Coturnix japonica: one gene and its partner. The protein of the gene in region 1 interacts with the protein of each later gene in a pairwise test. Links are inferred from orthologs where the notes say so. Each region holds a gene or a part of one and is shown in the gene's direction. Other genes may lie near its edges.

Region 1 (4,087 bases):
TTTTCAGGGAGCTTACCCACATTTTCTTGAAAGCAAATTCTAAGCAGTGCCATTGGAAGCAGGGCACAAAATGAATAACCTAAAAATACAGTTTCTATTCACCTTTTGATTGATTCTTGGTCCTGCTGGGCCTAGTGGAAGGATGTCTTCCATGCAAAACCAGGTGCCTGAGATGTCCTCATGTCCATAAGATGCTGAAGTTGCTGGAGCCCAGCAGGCCGGAGCCTTTCCTACAGCTTAAGGGGCAGAGAAGGCTGTGAGCCCACAGAAGCCTGGTCAGAACCCCAGGGAGCTGACCTCATAGTGGTGCATAGCACCTCCCAGCCCCACGAGGCAGTTCTGAGGTTAAAATAACCCAACGCCTTCCTTTCCACAACTCCATGAAGAAAAAATATCCGTGGGACTTGCTGATTTCACTGACAGTTGTTATTAGACTTTTCTAATAGTCAGTAGATGTTCATGAGAGAAAGCAGTTGTGGCCACCATGGTAACGCATTGCCCTGAGCCCAGTATTCATAGAATCACAAGGTTGGAAAGGACCTATAAGATCATCTAGTCCAACCGTCCTCCCTTTACCATACCTACAGAAAACCATGAAACCATATCTCCTAGCTCTCCCTGTTCAGATGCCTCTTGAACGCTGCCAGAGATGGCGACTCCACCACCTCCCTGGGCAGCCATTCCAGTGCCTGACCACTCTCTGAGAGAAAAAATTCCTTCTTATGTCCAGTCTAAACCTCATCTGATACAACTTGTGGCCATTCCCTCGGGTCCTGTCGCCACAGGGAGGGACCCAACCTGTGTGAGGAGCAGGCACGGCATGTGTTTGATGCACACGGTGGAGGTGCTCCCATCACACCACTCATGTATTCCCTCCCTGCTCAACGTGTGGGCACAGAATGAAGAATTAAATCTGTATAATACACATGCTCCAAAATAAGCAGAACTCCATTGCTAAGCAACCAATGGCCTCATTTGGCTGCTGAAGCTGTCAGCAAAATCATCTTTACCCTGCTTCTTTCTACCATAGGATTTAAATTAAATCCATTTATTTCTCTCAGAGTCCATTAAACAGTGAAAAAGTCTCACAACAATGCAGATTTTTCAAGGCTTTATTTCCCAATCCCCACAATCCGCCGCCATCCCGGCAGCCTCCGCGCGTACCAGAACGGCAACGGGATCATAGATCTCAAAGCTGCTCTGAGAGGCACTGGGCCGCACTCGTGCTTTACGACAATCGTGCTTTACGGCGCTCGTGCTTTACAGCGGCGCGCTACTCCGTCCCGGTTCAAGATGGCGGCGCGGCAGCGGCGGGCAGCGCGGTGGTGGTAGAGGCCGCGGCGGCGGTGGGAGGGAGCTGAGCCACCCCCGCCCCGCCTTGCCCCACCGGGCCGAGTGGTGAGAGGAAAGGGATGGGGCTGGGCTGGGGGAAGGGAAAGAAAGCGGGGGGTGGAAGGCGGTTGGCGCGGCCGCCTTCTTCCTTTCCCCCAGCATCCCTCGAGGGAGGAGGGGAGGCCTTCGTGTACTTCGATGGGAGACTTTCTGCCTCGCTTCCCAGTGCTCACAAAGCACTCGTTGGGGTGCTTGATTTTCTCCTCCTCCTACAGCGATTATCTTGTGTGGACCCTCCTTTTTACCCTAAAAGAATTTGGGATCGAGGTTTGAGAACGTTATTCTCTTTGAGAAAGGCAGTGCCTCTGATTGTATTTCTGCAGTTGGCTGTAAGTTAAAGAAATGCCCGAAGGCAGGAAAGAACCCTTCATTAGAATAGTCTTTCCTTACTGATCATTGTGATGTGGCTTGAAACAGATTGAGATGGCATAAGGGCAGTGGTGTGTGATGAGAAAAAGAATGTGTACAGAGTGGTTTTTGATGGATGGGGTAGTTGGTGGTTGGTAGGGAAGAAGTCAAGGGCATCCTAGAAGTCTGGGCAAAGAAGGATATTTACGGGAAACATTTGCAATAGAGATGTTTTATGTCATTAAGTGGAAAGCTAGAAAGGCTCTTCCATGCTTATGTTATGGAGGGATACGATAACAGTTAAAATAACGCATTTTATTTTTCTAAAAGCAAGAAGCTTTCAGGTTTAAGTCTTGAGGTGAAGAACAAGCTGATTTGTTTAAAGTATGCACTTCAACTGCTTACTTGCAACTGCTTTATAAGTGATACTTAGTAAAAATAAGATGGTTTTGATGTGAATGCCCAAACTTGTATTCTGAGATCCTCCAATCCTGTATTTGAGGTTTTCTTTTGTTCGATTGTTTGTCAACCTACTACTACAAAGAGGATGAACAAGCACACGAGTCCTGCTTATGTATAGAACCTGAAATTATGGTTATCTTTTCCAGGTCTTTTTCAGTTCTTTTATTTTGAAGCAGAAGAAAAAAAGTCAAAATGGGGCGGAGATCTACATCATCCACCAAGAGTGGGAAATTCATGAATCCCACAGACCAAGCTCGTAAGTACCCATAGAAGTTAAGCAAAAGGAAATGGGGAGTCCCAGGCAAGCAGATAAAAATCTTCCTCTGAGGGGAAGATCATCACTTCTGACTGAGAACTGACTTTCCCAAACCCAAAAAGTACTGTCTCCATTTTGGCTGGTGTAGAAACTTGCCAAGAAGCTACTGGTTTGCATACCATTGCTGCTTCACACTGTTTGTCCCTTAATTCTTACTCTAATTGTCACTGGCAATTTCTAACTATAGAAACAGTTAAGTTTCTATACTTAACTGTTGGCTGTCCTGCTTCTTGAGGTGTAGGTAATCTATCTGAGGCTAGAATTTGTGGAATGGTCACATTTTGCCAAGGCTCAGGTTACTGGAGGGAGTTGTCTGACCTTGTTTTCCTTTTTGTAATGTACTGCATTTTCAGTGCTACACAGAAACAGAAAGCCCAGGCTTCTGCTGTGAGCGTGCTTTGTTTCAGATGTGTATTCAAAACCTGCATATTTTTAAAGGGCATTGTTTCTTGTTGGCACTATATCTCAGCGGCAGTCTTTTACATTGCATGCATCACTGTGCCTTTTTTTGTCTATTGTTCTTTTCTGTATAAAAACATCGCTGTTTCTAGAGGCCTAAATACTTCTGTATTGCATTTTCTTTCTATATAACACCTATGAAACAGATTTCTATTTCATGCTGTATTTGTCTATCAACAGGAAGATAAGTTTTAAAGTTTCCTTTTGTTTAATGAAATATGAAAAATGAATGAGCTGTTAAAAAATAGCACTTGTTAAAATGGAGGAAAAGTTGTTTGTGAGTTTGATCCGCTCTTTCAAATTGTTTTTTTTTTTCTCTTCTTTTTTCTTCCCTCTCTCTAGGAAAGGAAGCTCGGAAAAGGGAACTAAAAAAGGTACATAAAGAGATCTGGAGCATTTACTTGGCATTTCCTGTGCTATGTGTTATATTTGTGATTATAAAAGACCATGAGTGGTGAATAGACTACTGTTTCAGTTGATCTTGTAAAATTTAGTTAGGGATATACTGTCCAAGCAGTTAAGAAAACACAGAAATCTGGATTTGAATCAAAACGACCTTTATGTATTTGTTGGTGTGATTCATTGTGTTGCTTTTGCCTTTTGGCTTATTTTACTGATTGTGTCTTCATTGGAATGTATGAGTTATAGAAGCATCTGTAAATAGTGAGATAGTGGAATTGCAGCTCCTAGAAGTTCAAAACATCTCTGCTGCTGATTTGTGCTGTGGTTAATATCTGCAAGGCATCTGGAGATGTCTTTTTTTCCCCCCTGTAGATTGGGAGTGTTGAAAAAGAATTATTTGATACAAAGATTTTTCTTTCTCCTGTGTCTCTTTTCTGATCTCCTTGATTTTTGATCCTCTTAGAACAAAAAGCAACGAATGATGGTACGAGCGGCTGTACTGAAGATGAAAGACCCAAAGCAGATCATCCGGGACATGGAAAAATTGGATGAGATGGGTGAGTAAGGGAGGTATTGGGTGTTGGAGATAGTAGTCAAACACTGAGTAATGATTATATTAGTGACTTTTGGTCTTAACATTGCAGACTTACTGGAAATACGAACTGCAAGTGGTTTGGTTTGAAGTTGTTTCGTTAATTTTAATTGTAA
Region 2 (4,161 bases), on another chromosome or scaffold:
GGCACTGGGAAGCTCTGCCTCATCTGATGGTTTGGAAATGGTGGCCTCATAGGACACTGGTTGATGGGATTTTGTGTTGAAGGGGGAACTGGTGGGGGATATGGAACAAAGTCTGGCCTGGGAGGCATGTAACTAGTGGCTGAAGGGTTTGAATAAGTAGCTGAAGGTGTGGCTTGCTGGTCATACTGGTACTGTACAGAGGGCTGCTGGGGGTGAAGCTGCCGCAGGTTCTGAGGACGATAAGCCTGTGCTGAAGTTCTTGCTCCTGGTCCCCCCTGCCCACGGGGACATCCTCGTCCAGAATGGAAAGACATGGTTCACTTTTAATGAGGAAAATATAGAAAATCATTGTCACAAAACTTAGTAGAAGGACCTCAGTATATTTGCAAAAAACAATTCCTGAAATACTGAAATTAGTTTCTGTCATTTCCTTTAATAGGAGCAGTGGAAGATGGCAGTCTTTCAGTGGGAGCTGTGCACTTCTCAGAGCTCTAATACAGATCATTACAGCCCTTTGATTTCTTTAAGTCTTTAATCCACTATAGTAGTTTACCAGTAGTCTTTAAACCAGCACTGCAACTGGACCATGCTCTCTGATTTAGGACAGTTAATTTTAACAGGTGACTGCAAGGACAGGCTATAGTTGCAAGTAGCTCCACTAATATGTACTAGATACGTCAATATAAAGCCTTCAGATACCCTATATCACCAGTCAGCATTGCCTCTCCAGCACCCTCACTTCTAGAAAGGCTCTAAAGAAAACCCACAGCTCATAGAATGGCCTGGGTTTAAAAGGGCCACAATGATCATCTCGTTTCAACCCCCTGCTATGTGCAGGGTCACCAACCACCAGACCAGGCTGCCCAGAGCCACATCCAACTTAACCCTGGATGCCTCCAGGGATGGGGCATCCACAGCCTCCCTGGGCAACCTGTTCCAGTGCATCACCACCCTCTGCGTGAAAAAATTCCTCTTAATATCTAACCTAAACCTCCCCTGTCTCAGTTTAGCAGCATTCCCCCTTGTCCTATCGCGATCCACCCTCGTAAACAGCCGTTCCCTCACCTGTTTGTACAATCCCTTCAAACATTGGAAAGCCACAGTGAGGTCCCCCCGGACCGCCAGAAAGACATTTCGGTTCTAGTACTTCCTAATAGCCAGAATAACAGCTATATCCCCTTTCCTCCTACCACACAGAGCACCAAATCGCAACCGCTTCCTCCCCCAGGCTCACAGACAGCAGAGCATCCCAGCACCAAAACACCCGATCTCAGAGCACACATCCCGCTCTCCGAGCCCACCGCCCTCACTCAGACCCCCGGCACACAACCCATCCCACCTACCGCCACACGGCGACATCCAACCCACCCGCTGCTCCGGAAGAGGAAAGCGTGGGGCGGGCACTCTGCTGCAGGAAGCGCCGCCTCGTCCGGCATGAGCGGCGCGGAGGCGGCCTGCGGGTCCCGGCCTCGCGGGGGCGGGTTGAGGACATACCCGGCGCTGCCGGTGTGGGTGGTGGAGGACCATCAAGATGTGAGTGGCGGCGTTAGGCGGAACACAGGGCTTGCGGGGGGGAGGTGGTGGCTGTGCAGTCAGCTCGCAAGTAGATCCAGTCAAGTCATGTGGGCATCAGGAGTTAAACCCCTTCTTTGTAGGTGGATGGGTTAAATTATCTGTTATTCAATGTTCTTCACTCAGAGGACAGTGAGGCCCTGGCACAGCTGCTCAGAGAAGCTGTGGTGCCCCATCACTGGAGGTGCTTAAGGCCAAGCTAGATGGGGCCCTGGGCAGCCTGAGCTGGTGATGGCAGCCCTGACCATAGGATGGAGCTGGGTGGGCTTTGAGGTCCCTTCCAGGCCAACCCATTCTATGATTCTGTGATAAAACCCAACAACAGCAAGTCCCTAGCCATGGAGCTGAATGATAGGTGAGAAGAGTTGCTGCAATCACAGTGCCTTGTAAAGAAGGAAAGGAAGTAGAAGTATAATCTGGCACCTTCACATGCGTAGAGCTCCAGGGCTCAGTGATTGTGCCTCATGAACTAAAATTGCTGCCCTTCTTTACTGTTTTCTGTCTCCTCCTTCCTCTTCCAACATACAACCCAAATTCTAATGGAGCTTGAGTGGGACTGGTGTTTCTGCTGCTATACCAATTGCGTTTGTGATTTCACTGCTTACAGTGGAAATGTTTTGCTTGTGCTCTTTTAGGTGCTGCCTTTCATCTACCGTGCCATTGGTTCAAAGCATCTGCCTGCAAGTAACATCAGCTTTGTTCACCTTGATTCCCATCCAGACCTCCTTATCCCTGTGAATATGCCTGCAGATACTGTGTTTGATAAAGAAGCACTTTTTAAGTAAGCCTTATGTACTGCATCAGGATAAAGTGTCCACTTCTTGCAGTGTTTGGTTTATATCAAATATTGATACGACTGTGTATGAAATATGAGCAACAGATGCATAAATCAGACTCATGTTGTATTTTCTTTAATTTTTTTATGAAACTTAATAGCTTTGGATAGAAGAAGTAGCTATGTTTCTTTTATGAATGTGGTCAAATGATTATGTTACATATTAAGAAGATGTAAGACTTAGGAATTCACTTCTAGTTCACATTATCAGACTGGGGAGTTCCTCTGAGTGACAGGACAGTACTCCAGATGGGTGCTTTTCAGTGAGCTGGAGATTTTAAAACGGCTTTTCTGTTAATGGTGACAAATTGACTGAGATTAAAATAACATCTCTTATGCTGACATGGTGCATCTGTGAAGTTGAGTGTGATAATTAAGACCAATGTTTATCCCTGTCTTCTTAGGTAGGCAAGAAGACACAGGGTGATCTGTTTTTGTCTATTATTTCTTGTCTTAAAATAAGTATTGATTGTTCCTGTGTTACACTGGTACAGAGCAGTGACAAGAGAAGATAATTGATATATTAACAATTGTGTCACCCTGCCCATGGTCCATATTTAGTTTTCTTTGCTGGATGAATGAAAAGCCTTGTAGGCTGCATCGTATACATGAAGAAATAGGATAATAAGTACAGATGCTACTCTGTTGGTGCTGATTGACTCACATTCACTACTGAAGTTATATATTAAGCCTACTTAGAGAAGCGTACAATAACTTGAGGTCAATTATGTAGAATGGAGTTCATGATGCACCTTGTACTTCTACTCTGTCACATATGTTCAGAGAAAAAGACAAGAAGTCCATGTAGTTAATAAAGTACTGTACTAAGAGTAAAGCTGACTGCACTTCATAATCCTATTGATTATTATTTTTTTTTTTAAATTTTATTACAGACATTTTTGGTTCTTACAAATCAGGAATTCAGTCCCTTTTCTTTGCTTTGGTGATATGATCTGTACACAGAGTAATAACTTCAGATTATTTGCATAGGGGGCTTTCAAGTTATGGAGGGTGTTTTTGCTGTTCTTGACAATGTTTTACATGCTGGTAAAGTAAGTGTTATTACCAGTCTTTCTCTCATCATTACAGTGAGCTGAGTATTGAAAACTGGATTATGCCTGCTGTTTATGCTGGCCATATTTCTCAAGTAGTGTGGCTTCACCCACCATGGGCCCAGCAGATCTCAGAGGGAAAACACAATTTTTTTGTTGGGAAAGACATGTCAACAACTACAATCAGGTAAATTCTTTGCTATCCTCTGATAGTAACATAAAAGCTATTTGCCATATATTTTGTATTCTTGAATAAATATAGTGATACATCTTTTCTCAATGAAAATTCAGTTTGTATTTGTGAATGTTTTGGGGTGTCATGACTGTTTTAAGAAGTACAGTTTAAGTAGAGTCTTAGCCTCTCTTTTTTTTTTTTTTAATAGATAATTCAAGTTATTCACATTTCATTGCATTCAACCAAGTTTTCAATTAGTTCTCTTTGATAAAATGAAAATCTTTGGGGAAAAAAAAAAAATGTTTTTTAGAGGATTGGGGTAACAGAGCAGAACTTAGATCCTCCTCAGATGTCCCTTATCAAAATGAAACAAGCCCACCTGCTCAACGTCTCCTTGTCAGATGCTCCGTCTAGCTCTTTAACCTCCTTAGCCAATGTACAGTGAAAATAATGAAAAGATGGTAGATGTAAATACCCAAAAGGTTATTTACAGTAAAAACTCACCCATATGGAAGCCTTTGGTCTGC

Evidence for each region. The genes of interacting proteins can lie anywhere in the genome.
Region 2: the proteins of WBP11 (region 1) and C2H5orf22 interact in binary tests that used the Homo sapiens proteins (3 or more experiments, as listed by UniProt). The two-hybrid records come from large-scale screens. The link is inferred for Coturnix japonica from reciprocal best matches to the Homo sapiens genes WBP11 and C5orf22.

The regions. Positions count from the first base shown.
Region 1 is NC_029516.1:43,743,213-43,747,299, forward strand, and holds the start of WBP11 (WW domain-binding protein 11), read left to right. Parts: upstream 1-1,277; 5' UTR 1,278-1,398; intron 1,399-2,348; 5' UTR 2,349-2,394; coding exon 2,395-2,458; intron 2,459-3,319; coding exon 3,320-3,351; intron 3,352-3,842; coding exon 3,843-3,936; intron 3,937-4,087. UniProt on the Homo sapiens protein: Activates pre-mRNA splicing. May inhibit PP1 phosphatase activity.
Region 2 is NC_029517.1:60,566,408-60,570,568, forward strand, and holds the start of C2H5orf22 (UPF0489 protein C5orf22 homolog), read left to right. Parts: upstream 1-1,351; 5' UTR 1,352-1,434; coding exon 1,435-1,533; intron 1,534-2,207; coding exon 2,208-2,353; intron 2,354-3,496; coding exon 3,497-3,646; intron 3,647-4,161. Other genes in the region: DROSHA (ribonuclease 3), read right to left, coding at 1-314.